Caenorhabditis elegans: one gene and its partner. The protein of the gene in region 1 purifies or fractionates together with the protein of each later gene. This does not show direct contact. Each region holds a gene or a part of one and is shown on either strand. Other genes may lie near its edges.

Region 1 (11,414 bases):
ACTTCAACAACCCCACCAGGTCCATTTGATGCCAACCTCCTCCGGTTGACAGTCGCTGCTGCCCAATCGAGCGATCCCGCTGAGCAGCTGACTGCTGTTCAACAAGCCCGTAAAATGCTATCAACTGATAGAAATCCACCAATTGATGACTTGATTGGCAGTGGGATTTTGCCTGTCCTCGTTCAATGCTTGTCCAGCACGGAGTAAGAATTTTCATAAGGTCGCATCAAATTACTGTAAATTTTCAGTCCAAACTTGCAATTTGAAGCTGCATGGGCCCTTACCAACATAGCATCTGGTACATCAGAGCAAACACAAGCCGTCGTGAATGCCGGAGCCGTTCCTCTCTTCCTGCAACTCCTGTCATGTGGAAATCTGAACGTTTGCGAGCAATCTGTCTGGGCTCTTGGTAACATCATTGGAGATGGACCACATTTCCGTGATTATTGTCTCGAACTCGGAATTCTCCAGCCACTATTGCAGTTCATTAACCCGGAGATACCTATTGGCTTCTTGAGAAATGTCACATGGGTTATTGTCAATCTCTGCAGGTGCAAAGATCCGGCACCAAGCCCAGCTGTGGTTCGTACGATTCTTCCCGCCCTCTCACTTTTGATCCATCACCAAGACACCAACATCCTCATAGACACCGTTTGGGCCCTTTCTTACCTCACCGACGGTGGAAATGAACACATTCAAATGGTTATCGAAGCTCAAGTTGTTACCCATCTCGTTCCACTCCTTGGACACGTTGATGTTAAAGTTCAAACAGCAGCACTTCGAGCTGTAGGAAATATTGTGACTGGAACCGACGAACAAACACAACTTGTGTTGGATAGCGGAGTAAAAATTTTCATTTATGACTTTTCCAAATCTTAAATTTCAGGTTCTTCGGTTTATGCCAGGACTTCTCGCCCACTACAAAGAGAAAATAAACAAAGAGGCTGTTTGGTTTGTCTCCAACATAACTGCTGGAAACCAACAACAAGTTCAAGACGTATTCGACGCCGGAATCATGCCAATGATTATTCATCTTCTTGATCGAGGAGATTTCCCAACTCAAAAAGAGGCAGCGTGGGCTATTTCCAACGTTACAATCTCTGGCCGTCCAAATCAAGTTGAGCAAATGGTAAAGCTTGGTGTCCTTCGTCCTTTCTGTGCGATGCTCAGTTGCACTGATTCGCAGATTATCCAAGTAGTGCTTGATGGAATTAACAACATTCTGAAAATGGCTGGAGAAGCTGCCGAACAGGTGACATCAGAGATTGAAGAGTGCGGAGGTCTTGACAAGATAGAAAATCTTCAAAATCATGAAAACGAGGACATTTACAAACTGGCTTTCGAAATTATCGATAACTTCTTCAGGTAGGAGTCCAATTATATTTGATAAAAATCTTCAGAGTCCGTGTGCGAATGTTTGGTGTATACGTTTTTATATTTTCAGTTCCGATGATGAGACTGGCAACGTGGAAGGAGCTCAAAGTTCTGCTTTTGGAGGCGACGTTCCACCAGTTCCTGATGCTCCAAACGGAGGATGGAACTTTGGAAAGTAGATCTCCATGATTCCTTTAATCACAAAATACGTTTTGTCTTATTTCTCGTAAACAATTTCGCATGCCGTTCCCATACAAATGTTCATGTAGTTTTCGTCTTACTATTTTTCACACCTCACTTTTTGTTAGGTTCTCGTGTATTTTCATCTGACACGCGAGTTCCTAAGCCAGCTTCTCGGAAATGCAAGCTCTCTTTCATGTGAGATTTTGCACTTTTTGACCAATTGAGTTTGCACGTTCTTCTACAATCGATTGTCAATTATCTCATCCTTTCTTTATCTCTTCGTTGTTTCTGTACCATCAGTGATTTGATTAACATTTCACTTTTTCATCCACCATCTTTTTTCCATTGTGATTAATTAGTTACAATGTCCCCGCCCTCTTCTTCGTGTGTGCGAGAGTGACTGTTTTATGATAATATATTTCGATTTCTTTTTAAAGTGAGTGTGTGAGTTGTGCATTTTTGTTGAGTTTTGTTTTCATTTTTGTTTCCCATTCGCGCCCGTTCATTGCCCGCGTCCCCCACCCTCATCCTTTTATCATTGTTACCGCGTCGTTTTCAAATCTCTCATCATTTTTCCCAGTCCCTCCAATCCCCACGGTCCCCAGATTTTCTCTCTAAAAGCGAGTATTTTCATTTTCTTCACATGTTACTTTTATTAATTCTTTATCATATACATAATTTCAATTTCTTAGAACTTCTGATCCCCCTAGTTTGCTCATTTCCTAGTCATCCATCATCATTCTCGATTTCATTAGTTCTCGGAGAATCTCGTTGATAGGCCAAAAATTCCAATCACCCTGCTCCTCTTAGTTCTCGTGGACTCCAGTATTCTTTTTCTTGAAACCCCACCCATCCCGTAAGGCCTTTTTAAAGGTATATCGAGCCGTCCCTCTTCTCATCATCCATCTTCTTTTCTCATTTTCCCTCTCATCTTCCTCATCCCATTTTCCTTTCTCCCGTTTTGCTATTCTCGATTGTCTCGACTGACTGGCCAATATTCCCTTTACCTGGTGTGTGCTCTCATAATAAATAAATCAAATTTATTTGTTAAAAGTTGTTGTAAAACGAAACAATAATACACGATTTTCATTTATTTCATGACAAACTCAAATTTTCCGGTTTCTTCCAACAGTGAGCAAAGTTGTTCGGGGTCCACATTATGTTGAAGAGAAAGTTCGTCAATTGAAGTTTTTCCATTACACCGTTTCAGGAGACTTAAAATTGTATATTATTAGATAGTATTAATTGATTAACTTACGTGTTGTTGCCTGGGTTTGCAACACAAATAGGATATTTAGAAAGTTTACGAAGAAACTGATGATGCATTCCAAATTGTACAAGTCGCTGTTCATCAATACCCATCGATCTTGGTTTCTCCAGATCGGCCCATTCTGCTAGATTGTTGCCGCACTGAAAACGTAGTCGATTGCTATCAGATTCGTCGATCGGAAGTTTAGGTCCCACCACTTTCATGCTCAAATAAAGTCGGAACACATCCGAAAATTCTGGAGTTCGCGTTGGAATTTCTGAGCCGTCTGCACCGATTTCCGTTTGAATTTTCACAAACTCAAGGCAGTCATTGATTTCCGTTTGATTTTTGTAAAAGTCGTGAACTCTTTCAGTTGCCACATATGTATTATAGTAGAGAAACATTGGAACAAGACTGACACATTCGTAGAAGTGTAAATTACGAACACATCTGGCGACGAGGGATGGATCAAGTTCGAGAATAATAGCAATCTCTCGAACTGTATTGATTCCATCAATTTGAGGAATAATCTTCTGTGACAGAACATCCATTTTTTCTATGAGATGATCGGTAAGCGTCACTTCTCTTATGAACATTGGAACCATATGATAATCGATTTCTGGAGGTTCACATCCACGATACAATGGGCATAATTTGAAATATAATGTCACAATCTTTTCATCTTCAAGACTGACTTCAATCACACTTTCGCCTAAATTTAAAATCTTGTTATTCATAGAAAAATACAAAGTTTACCTTTATTCGACAGATCATTGAACATTCTCTCCATTACATCAAGAACCTGATCCTTGTATTTTGGATTTGTGAGAAATTTGTATTCCATCTCCAATTCAATCAAATATTCCGCGCATTTCTGTACAATTGGCTCATACATTGTTTCTGCAGATGATGTCATGTCAACGATGAAAGCCATATCGAAAGTGAAACGACCACGTTCGTAGCTTTTGTGATCTATTCCAACGGGAAACATGAGAACTTTGCAGCGAAGAGATTTGATGGTCAGTGAAAATGAGTTACGGAACATGGATGGTTTTGGAATGATCAAGCCTGAAACATAAATTCATTTTATTATTTGGATTAATATAACATACCTTTTGTGAAGTGAAAAGTTGCCTCAACTTTATTATTTTCTTTCGGAACAGAATGTTTGATGATTGCACCTAAAGTGTTATGAAATTCTGCCAACAGAATTCCGAGAAGTTGTGGGGCATCATCAAATGTATAATGACCGAATCGACCACCACTTGAATCACCTGTTGCAAAAGGTCCTGCTCCGAATGTCGCAAGAGTTTTTTGACGCTGAACCATTGTTTAGCGTTTTTTAGTCTTATTGTAAGCGGTCCGCTTGATGACAAAAATCCGGGTAATGGCAATAAAAATACCAATAACTGCTCCAATAAAGCAACCGACGAGGGAAGGAAGAGGGTATCGCTGTAAATTAATTTATTACACATTTGACAAGAAGTGTATGCGCGCATATATGCGTGATTACCTGCCACCAACGATCCCAATCCAATGGATGAACAGCAGCTGCTGCCCAAGCACCCAAAAAAGCGAATACGGAGTTGAACAGTAAAACTGATTCTTTTGGTGTTGGATTGCCTTCACACGAAAATAATTGTAGGATCACTTCAACCGCTCGCTCTTCTGAATCGAATAGGAAGACGGCAGGCAGAGCAGAGACGGCCGTTAGAGCTGTCTGAAAACAGGAAAAATAAATTATTTTCATGTGCTTAATCTTCTCATACAGCAAGTACAGCGGTTGCAATTATATCAGAGAAAAACGGAGCGCCGAAAAGGACAGCGAGGATGTAAAACACCGCCCAAGAAAGAGTCACGAATCTGGCGGCCACGGGTAGACTAAGCATATGATGAAAATCCTGGAATTTTAGAAATAACAATGTTAACAGGTCTCAAGAATGTTTGTAATCATGAATGATCAATATTTACGATAGAATTAATTTACTAATTAGAAAATAAAAAAGTTATTTTAAAAAACACCATTACCAACATTGCGCGTCAGTTCCGATGTTTCTTCACGGTGTTTGCGTACTTATTGTTAAACATTATTTTTTTTCTATTTTTTTTAACTTTAATTTAACTTTGAAAAGCTTTCGGGGATACTTATTCCTTTTATTATTTATATTTTTGCAATGGGCAAAAAATCGAAGAACTCAGTCACCACACAAACTCAATGGGTAAGTGATCTCTACTATTAAAATGGAGTGGCCGTCAAAACTTCAGAAAAGACTCAAGATTGACTTTGTCGAAAGGAAAATAGACAAGGATGATGTATTTTTTGAAGAAGTCAGCGACGAGCAATTAAATGACAAAATAATTGTTCCTCTTTTCACAAGCAGTGGAACCTTTGAAGAGACTATCGGGATCTTAATTCAATGGCAAGTAAGTCTAGAGATTTTTTTACATGATAAACTTTCAAATCATTCAGGAATATTTGAAATCTCGTTCCGACAGACTCAGCGAAGTTTTCCTATCGAAAGTCAATTCATATTTTGAGCACATTCGAATCACGCTTGCTCTACCGTTTGATGAGTCGAAATGGGCAGAATTGGAAACACTGACAGAAACTGATCTCAACAAAACACCGATTTTTATCAACAATATTCGAACATCTACAGTCTCTGTCATACTCCATCTCGAAAATCTTATTAAATCGTTCCATCTGAATGTAAAAAGTGCAGAAATTTTTCCATTCGACTCTGACTCATTTGGGCTCCCACCGATCAATTGCAGGAAGATTTTGAATCCATTATTATGGATGAAAGCAGGAATCGAAAAGTTGATTCAAAATAATTGTCAATGCGACCAACCTCCAATTGTTCCACTGATTACATTGCTAGATCTTGCGCCAAAGGAAGGTCATTTTCAGGAATTAGCTATTGCCTCATTGTAAGCTATTATTATTAAATATATTATTTACATCTTATTATTTCAGCTTTCTAGAGAATACTGCCCATAAACTTGACTATTCATGTTCTGATGACGAAAAAAAGTTCCTGGATCAGATAAAGATGAAGTTTGGAACAACAAAAGTTGACAAATTAACAATGGTTTTACCGGATATTCTGATGGCATACAGCGAAGAGCTTGTGGAAAGAGTGATGCCAGTGTCATATTTCATCCCATTTGAACTCTTCCGTATGATGCTGCTCTCTTGGCAACCAAAAGTATTGAATCTTCGATTAAGAACAGAAGCATGTTCTTCTATTGAAGATGCTGCAAGAATTGAATGGGATGACGAGGATGTTTTCACTTCTACCACTCTTTTCAACTGTCCCTTGTTTGATAGATGCGAACCAGTGTGTCTTGGAGACGAAGAAATTATTTTGAATTGCAAATTGATCGTTGATTGCTCAGGAAGTCGTCTTTTTGATCCCATGTTCAACGAGGGGAACGTCTATACTGCTGGCAGAGATTTCTTGGTGTTATTCCCAATGCAAACGATCATATTGAAAAGAATTGTACCATTGAAAGTTGGTTCATCAGTGGTAAGTTCCTCTTTTGTCTTTCTAATTGGTTTTTTTTCTCATTGCAGAAAGTTCAATTGAAAAAACAAATCGACTACATAGTGAACACATTCTTCTTCAACGCCAGCGAACACCAAGATCGAGTTGTAAACTATGAACTCACATTTACCAACTCTACAGATGTTCAAATGAGTGCAGTGAAAAGATGTATACCACAAGTCGCCAATGGACGCCAAATTGGAGTCAATTTGAATGTTGAGCAAGAAACAAGAGATTTATTCACTGATCATGGCAATTCTTGCCCTGGAAGACATATGTTCGCCAGTTTTTTCGATTCAGAAAATCAGGTTATTGTAGATCTAAAAGTAGTGCTGGCCAATTAAGTTGTGCAGTATTATTATTTCCTTGTTGATTCAGTTGGTTTTCAATTCTGAGTACTCTTTCGTTGTCTGTTCTGTTTATTCTCAATGCTGTTTTCTCTGTTCTTTGTTTCTCTGCTCTTTTTTCCTTTTTCAACATAAATTTATGTGTATCCCGGCCGTAGGACGAGACTTCACTTGTTTCTCTTCCACTTGTTTCAACTTAAACGCGAATAAGTTTTTCAGTGCTATTCTGATTAGTGTGTGCACTGAAAACTGATCAGTGAGCGAGTTTGTAAGTCGTTGCTAGGCATTTTCATCTGTGGACAGCAGAGAGCGCGCTTTCATCGATCTTGATTCATTTCTCACGCTGCTGCTCTTTTCATTTCTTTTTTTTTGCTCTGAGATCGACGAGAAGTGAAAAATGCCACTTTTTGGAAGCAAGAAAACCGATAAGAAAAGTGGAATGAATGAAGCACCAAGCTATCCGAAGCAAAGTGTAAGTTTACTTAACTTTAAATCATGAATAATTTGATTTTTTTAGGCCGTTCCACCTCCTCCGCAAGTTGCCCACTATCCGATGCCAACATATCCACAAGGTCCGCTTGTTCAACAAAACGAGTTCTACTTCACCTCCGCTGGCCAACAACTCCAATCGGTTCCAACTACTACAGTCGCATTTGCAAGAACCGATCTGCCTGGGGCTTACGACAACTTCTGTGAGGGATTCCTCGACGGACCAGACTTCTCAAACCGAGTCCCAGACAGGAACATTCCCCCTGCTCCAGGATCGTATTACTTCTACTCGGTAACACACATTTTTAAATTTCAACTTTACCATACCCACTTTCAGCATGGCAACAGCTCAACCCCGTCGTTCGCCCCTCCCTACTGTGCTCCACCACCAGGTCCATCTTCATCTGCTCCACCAACACTCCCGACGTCTTCAGGCAACCTGCCGCCACCTCCAACCTACGAACAGGTTCTCTCGCAGGAAGTGAAAGAAAAACTATGATAATTTCGCTGAAGATTTTTCAACATTTTCAACACTGTATTCCCTTTGCATCTGTGATTGCTGTTTGCATACTAAATCATAATTATTCTGCGATTTCATTTTTTGTGCTCTTAATTTAGTCATTTTACCTGAACGATATTTTGATCAAACCACATTTATGCATTTATTTTCTCCCAAGACTACAAATAAGCCACGATGTAGTCTTCCTGAAGGGCAAAGTGCAAAAAACGAATGCTATCTGCGTCTCCCCGGTTTCTGTACTATCTCAATAACGTTTCGTTATCTTCTCTTTCTCGGAGAGTAGTCCAGCAATCTCTGTGTTCATTGGCTGTTATTTGTGGCGAACCCTCACAGCAACGACGTGGTCGGACACACAAACATTTTCTTCACTTATTTTTTTATCTTCCTTTTGTTGTTGATATCTTCGTAAACATTCGTTCCCACTATCGATCTAAATAGGATAAAAAAGCTTTACTGTTCTTTAAAAACTCCTAAAAATCCAATTTTAAATTTTATATTCGAAATTTAGCGTTTAAAGTGCAATTTTCTTTGATAAGATAAGTTAAGATAAGTTAAACATTTCTTACAAGGCCTGACAGGGTTTTCTTAAATTCAGAAATGTATTAACTTGAACAAAACTAAATATTATCACCCTTTTTTTAAATAACAGGATTCAGGTATTTTTCTTAAATCAAAAAACCACTTAATTTCTACATTAACCTTACTTAATATCGGAAAATTTCAGCCATCAGATCGAAGTTTTTACATTTTATTTTTCAGACGCATTGAAATGTCGGACGTTCTTCTGAATTTCATCGCAGGAGGAGTCGGTGGATCATGTACCGTAATCGTCGGACATCCATTCGATACTGTCAAAGTCCGAATTCAAACTATGCCAATGCCAAAACCAGGGGAGAAGCCACAATTTACCGGAGCTCTTGATTGTGTCAAACGAACAGTTTCCAAAGAAGGATTTTTTGCCCTCTACAAAGGAATGGCAGCTCCACTTGTTGGTGTTTCTCCACTTTTTGCAGTTTTTTTCGGAGGATGTGCAGTTGGAAAATGGCTGCAGCAAACTGATCCAAGTTAGTACTAAATCATCATGGGCAAACAAATAAATTGAAAATATGAGAATTAATCTTACCATTTTGCATTTCAGGCCAGGAGATGACATTCATCCAAAACGCTAATGCTGGAGCTCTTGCTGGAGTCTTCACAACAATTGTGATGGTTCCTGGTGAACGAATCAAGTGTCTTCTTCAAGTTCAGCAAGCTGGATCTGCTGGTTCTGGAGTTCATTACGATGGTCCACTTGATGTTGTCAAAAAACTATATAAACAAGGAGGAATTTCATCAATCTACAGAGGAACTGGTGCCACTCTGCTCAGAGACATCCCAGCTTCAGCCGCTTATCTTTCAGTATATGAATATCTAAAAAAGAAATTCTCTGGAGAAGGAGCTCAAAGAACATTGTCACCAGGAGCAACATTGATGGCTGGAGGACTTGCTGGTATTGCCAATTGGGGAGTGTGTATTCCAGCTGATGTTCTCAAATCTCGATTACAAACAGCCCCTGAAGGAAAGTATCCAGATGGAATCCGTGGAGTTTTGAGAGAGGTTCTTCGCGAAGAGGGTCCTAGAGCTCTGTTCAAGGTGATTTTTTTTAAACGATTGGGACGATGCAAGTGAATTTTTCGTCATTTCTCGACACATTTACATACATATATACTTTACCTGATTTCTAGCTACAATTTGTATAAATTTCAGGGATTCTGGCCAGTAATGCTCCGTGCTTTCCCTGCAAACGCTGCCTGTTTCTTCGGACTTGAACTCACGTTGGCTGCCTTCCGTTACTTTGGCATTGGTGGACACCCAACACCATCTACAGAAGTTGTTCCACTCCCACACGACGAGTAAATTTTTGAAAATTCTCATTTTTCTAATTAGTTTATACCATATTTATTTGATATTTTTTTCATTATTCAAAAACATTTACCCGAGTTGCCTTCTATTTCCATGTTTTGGGCATTTGTATGTTGTGTATATTTCTACATGAAAATCGTAAATTTTTTGATGAACTTCAAGAAGTGCTCAATGTTGAATTATATTTACCGTGTTCAGCTGTCGCTATACAATTTTTTTTGAGAAACAGGTTCATTAAATGCAGAACAATTATCGAAACAAAAGAGTACAACGGGTATGGTGAAAAAAAAACAGGGGAACATTTAAGATAAGACTATTCTAGATCGATGACGCTCTGAAGACTGCCAGGTTCACTTTCTGAAACTATTTTCACAATTTTAAACGATTGGGATAGTGATGATTGGAGTTAAATTGAATTTCATTAATTGAAAAACCTACACTAAATAAGAGTATTCTGGAAATGAGTAGTTTTAATTTAGAAATTCTTTTTTAGAAAACCTAACCTTTCTGGAAGAAATTGTATTGAAAAAAAGTTTTAAAAACACCGAAAATTATAATCATCAATAAAAATTTCTTTTCAAACGTTTACTATATTTACTACTCCTACAAAAATTTGGAAAAAAACAAAATAATGCTGAGAGCGATAATATTTCAAAACCATCCAAAAGAAAGCTGAAAATTCTAATCTAAATAATGACATTTACCTTTATTTCCTGTATCTATAGACTCGCTTCGAGCACCTTCTTCAGAATCAGTTTCATCCTGATTATCAAAAATATCATAGTCTGAATCCATCGAGCGTGTAGGTTTTCCGCGTTCAGAATTATCCAGACGACTTTGCTTGCTTTCTTTTCCATTCTAAAAATAACATTGATTTTACAAAATTATATACTAAAAATCTGTAATTCTGTCGTTCCAGATTTCAGAATGCTGGGAAGATTAGCAGTTCGACAGGCTGTCCGTTGCAGTAAAGGTAATTAATTTCCCGTTTTCTAGGAAATTTTGTAATTTTACATAGCTTAGAAGTAATTGCAAAAAAAAGCAGATTTTGCAGATTTTGGTCATGTGAGTTGATAAGACTGACAGCTGATAAATTCAGTACTCTGAATTCGTGGAAACAATAATATTAAATGATAAGTGTCACTTGATCAACTGTGCACAACTATACTACTGAATATTGTGAAATCTGGTCATCTAGATATCAGCAATAGCATGGTCAGAATAATAACATCCTAGCCGTTAAGATCAGCACAGGAGCCAAAAATACGGTACCCGGTCTCGACACGACAAATTTTTCTTAAATACAAGGTCTGCCCCTTTAAAGATTACTGTAGTTTCAAAATCTCGATTCTGTAACATTTTCATCCTGTTTTAAACCTATTTTTTGAACAAACACATCAATTTTATTGGAAAACAATGAGAAAAACGAGAGATTGAAGTTACAGTACTCCTAAAATGAAATTTTTCGTGTCGAAACTCGGTACCGTATTTTTGACTCAAAAATCGCTGTTTCGCCTGTTGTTCATTCTAACATTTTTACAGCATCCATCAAGCCCGTCAACACTCATCAGCTTTGCCTGCGCAATTTTTCGGCCATCCGACGTCTTTCATTTGTCGCCGGCGCCCAGTGCCGTCCCTACCACACAACAGCAAACATGCTCCATCGCACGGCAAGAGGCGAACACGGGTCAGTTCTGCGTCCCGGTGTGTGTATGTGTTTTTGATGACAATAGTGTCTCGAAGTGCCAACCTCTAACTATCCTTTTTCGTTATCGAAAATGGAAGGGTGGGTTCTAACGTCA
Region 2 (3,600 bases), 4.8 Mb from region 1:
TACACGCTGGCCACTGGCATAACCACATTTTTAATTTTTTTTTTTTGAAATTATTAAAGTCAACAGATAGTTTTAATTTATGAATTTATTTTATTTTAATTTTAAAATTTTGAATTTCAGTTTAAAAAATTAAAACCGTTTTTATGTTGATCTAAATAGTAATTTTATTTAATTAAATTTTCAAAATGTGATTTTAAAATTATTAAAAGGTAAGTTTGAGTTTTTCTAACTAAATTGTGTGGAATTTCTCTCGAGAATTGACACAAGATACATTTAAATGACACTTTTTCGGTTCAAAAAGTACCTTTTTAACACTCTGACCATTTAAAATACCGGTCATCCGCCAGAAGTGATTGTTTGGCTGAAATAGTAACAAAATATTGTTATTTTAAGAAACACAATTGGAGAACGGTGTCCGCTCTCACTCTGCGGTGGTGGCGGTCGCTCCAATAGAGGCTTGGCCGGGCGAACGCGGCGATGCCTGCGTATCTAACTACGGTATGCATTCAATGTTTTCTGCCAACCGCACTTTTTACAGAATCCAGGAACACCAGTTTCGGGGGAAGCTTTCACATTCGGAAACCTTTATCAAATTGACAATTTTTCATTTATATTACACTAAAACACTCAAAACACCCTCCATTATCGATTTTTGATCCAATTGCTGAGTTGGAACTTTCTTCTCACTTACTAATAAAACCTGTGTTGAACGCTATGAAAATTATTTAACATCTTGCTGATCTTCTCTCGCTTTGTTCATACGAGGGCCTCCCTCTCGGCGATATTCTTCCACCTCTTCTCCTATTTTTCGTACAGTAAATGTTCTTTTTTGTTCCGCTCCTCTGAATTATTTCAAGGATTACGTGGAAATTGAGAGTGAGAGTGAAGAGTAAAAGAGAAAGCGAGAAAACAGTGATTTTATTGATTTCAGCGCAAAATCCACGTTTCACAATGAAGCAGAAACCGACGACGCCAATGTGTGGCGAGAGAAGAAGGCAAAATGAAAAAGAATTTCCAGCGAGGCAAAGAGAAAGAGCGCGAGACGCTAGTGTCTGTGTGCATCGCGCGCTTGAGGTCGCCTTCCATGGCGTAATTCTTCGTGTTCAATGAGATACTCGAGCAAAATCAGAAAATATTGTCATAAATATTTTTGTTTACGTTGTAAAATCTATTCTAAAGATCGCCGGTGAGAAGAGAGTCGCGAAATTTCGAAGCGTTGCGAAGTTAGGCAAATTTCAAGAGCAATTAATTATTAAACGCTATAAACTTTGCTGAAAATGAAAATAATGACTTTAAAAACTGAAGTGAACATTTAAACGATATTTGCGCCAAAAATAAATTATATTTGTTCAGCAGTATGCTGGTTTTTCGCGCAAAAAAAATTAGAAAAAAATGTGATCACTGATTTTCTCTAGTTGTGCATTTGTTCGTCATTCTGTTTGCACCCATCTAAATCTACCGTACTCTCTGAAGTTATTGATTAAATTTCTTTCGCCACGTTCATTCGTCTCGTCAGCTAAATATTTATCTACCGTTGTGAACTTGTTTTATTTTGTTCTTTTCTCGCAATATAATTTCATTATACAATTTCAGCGGGTTACACGAGCTATCGACGGATGTCGAATATACCGACAGCGCCGGGAAACGTTGGATTTCCGCAGGCGTACGGTCAAAACCAGAATCAACAATATCAACACGTCCAACAATTCAGTCAGTTTTCTCAACCATCTGCGGCTCCGTTAAATAATGCTCCTCCCAATTATGCAGCCAATCCGTTTCCTTTTCCGACTGCAACGACTTCGCAAGAGCCGGTATGTATTGATTCTCATCTTTACTTTCATATTTCCATTTCCTTCCTTAATTTTCTATTTTCAGGTGAAACCCGTATCTCAAATCCCAAATGGAGCACCAAGTTATCAATATAACCATGCTGCGCCAAATTATCCAACTGCAGCTTCAGCTTTTCCAGCTCATTCTGCAGGATTTTCTCATCAACCACCGTCCTTTTCACCCGCTACTCAGCCTTCTATGAACGGCCATCATGCTCCACCACCACCAGCTGTGGTATGGTTAATACTGCATATACAGAAGAATTGAATGTTTTATTTCAGTCCCGACCGCCAGCGTTTCCAACTCCACCACCATCAGTTGGTTCAGCAGCTCCAAGTATTCAGCCTCCGATCCCATCTGCACTTGCTTCAGCCCGACCTGCTCCATTTCCTGCTGCTCAACCTCCACCGGCACCAACTCCAACGCCTTCTTATCAGCAACAAATGGCTCCACGGCCTCAAGCACCAGCTGCTTATCCTCCGGCTTCACAGCAACAAGGATATCCTCCCCAGCCACAGCAAAATTCACAGTATGGTCAACCACAAGTCCCACAACCTCAAATGCAAAATATGAATCAGCAATTTGGACAAATGGTTTATTCATATTTGTTATTTCCCCGTATAAAGTTGATTTTCAGAACATGAGCGGAGCTCCTGGTCCTCAGCAACAAATGGGCGGGTATCGCAATGATATAATTGATCTGATTGCTGAAAGAAATGTTCAACAACTTGGTTTTGAAGATATCGAGATTCAGATTCCTCAACAAGTCGCGAATCCGAATGCTCATGTTGATCCAAAGTGAGGATTTTCTCTTGAAGAAGGAATTCTGTTTGTATAAATAAACTCAAAATGTGGCCGAATGGACGAATTTCGTAGTGAGACTTCTCAAAAATGCCTTCGCTACTGGCTGATATCAGCTAAAATCTCGAATCGCAGCTGTCGGAATTTGACTTTTATTTAGTTTAAATCCTTTATTGCATATTTTGATCGATTATCTCGCATCAAGAAATTGGTTCATCTGACCAAATTTTGAGTCTATACAAGCAAAAATCCAGAATCGTTACTATTGCAGATATTAGAAATATTAATAATTTTCTCTTCAGTATTTTCCGCTCAACACTCGCCCAAGTTCCACAAACAGAAGAACTACTGAAAAAGAGTCGATTACCATTTGCAATAACACTTCATCCGTTCCGAGATGTTAAGAATCTCAATATTATACAAACATCGAATATTGTACGTTGTCGGTATTGTCGGACATATATTAATCCATATGTATATCTTCCTGATCATCGACACTGGAAATGCAATCTCTGTAATAGAAATAACGACCGTATGTTGACTGAAAAATGTGAAATTGAGAAAATGCGAAAACCATTTTTTGTTTTCAGTGCCTGATGATTTCTGCTGGGACCCAGTGACAAAAGCATTCGGAGATCCTCGAAACAGACCGGAAATTCAAAATGCGACGGTTGAATTTATTGCTCCATCGGAATACATGGTATTTTCATATTTTAAACGATGTTTTTCTAAATTTAAACAAGCGATTTCAGTTACGTCCACCTCAACCTGCTGTCTATGTATTCGTGATTGATATTAGTGCTGCAGCAATTCAATCAGGCTATTTACACACATTTGCCGAGCAACTTCTCATCAATATAGATCAAATGCCAGGAGATGATCGTTCTCAAGTGTGCTTCATTGCTGTCGATCAATGCTTGCATTTCTTCTCATTTTCTAGTAATAAGCGGTATCCGAATGAAATGATTG

The links.
Region 2: the proteins of F49E8.7 (region 1) and sec-24.2 fractionate together in Caenorhabditis elegans (co-fractionation; one large-scale study listed by BioGRID). This does not show direct contact.

What each region holds. Positions count from the first base shown.
Region 1 is NC_003282.8:7,549,930-7,561,343, reverse strand, and holds F49E8.7 (BACK domain-containing protein), read left to right. Parts: upstream 1-4,978; 5' UTR 4,979-4,980; coding exon 4,981-5,025; intron 5,026-5,071; coding exon 5,072-5,230; intron 5,231-5,276; coding exon 5,277-5,737; intron 5,738-5,783; coding exon 5,784-6,336; intron 6,337-6,383; coding exon 6,384-6,698; 3' UTR 6,699-6,852; downstream 6,853-11,414. Other genes in the region: ima-3 (Importin subunit alpha-3), read left to right, coding at 1-203, 249-843, 887-1,365, 1,445-1,553; nprl-2 (Nitrogen permease regulator 2), read right to left, coding at 2,648-2,771, 2,816-3,518, 3,563-3,874, 3,919-4,135; F49E8.8 (Phosphatidylinositol-glycan biosynthesis class F protein), read right to left, coding at 4,139-4,258, 4,320-4,526, 4,576-4,695; F49E8.6 (Early nodulin-75-like), read left to right, coding at 7,099-7,173, 7,219-7,482, 7,528-7,689; Protein dif-1, read left to right, coding at 8,480-8,774, 8,849-9,342, 9,457-9,606; oef-1 (C2H2-type domain-containing protein), read right to left, coding at 9,926-9,975, 10,317-10,470; pam-1 (Puromycin-sensitive aminopeptidase), read left to right, coding at 10,540-10,585, 11,155-11,299.
Region 2 is NC_003282.8:12,358,786-12,362,385, reverse strand, and holds the start of sec-24.2 (uncharacterized protein), read left to right. Parts: upstream 1-1,593; 5' UTR 1,594-1,616; coding exon 1,617-1,811; intron 1,812-1,875; coding exon 1,876-2,064; intron 2,065-2,111; coding exon 2,112-2,423; intron 2,424-2,467; coding exon 2,468-2,628; intron 2,629-2,933; coding exon 2,934-3,163; intron 3,164-3,221; coding exon 3,222-3,331; intron 3,332-3,383; coding exon 3,384-3,600. Other genes in the region: ZC518.8 (Glutathione S-transferase), read left to right, coding at 478-498, 539-622.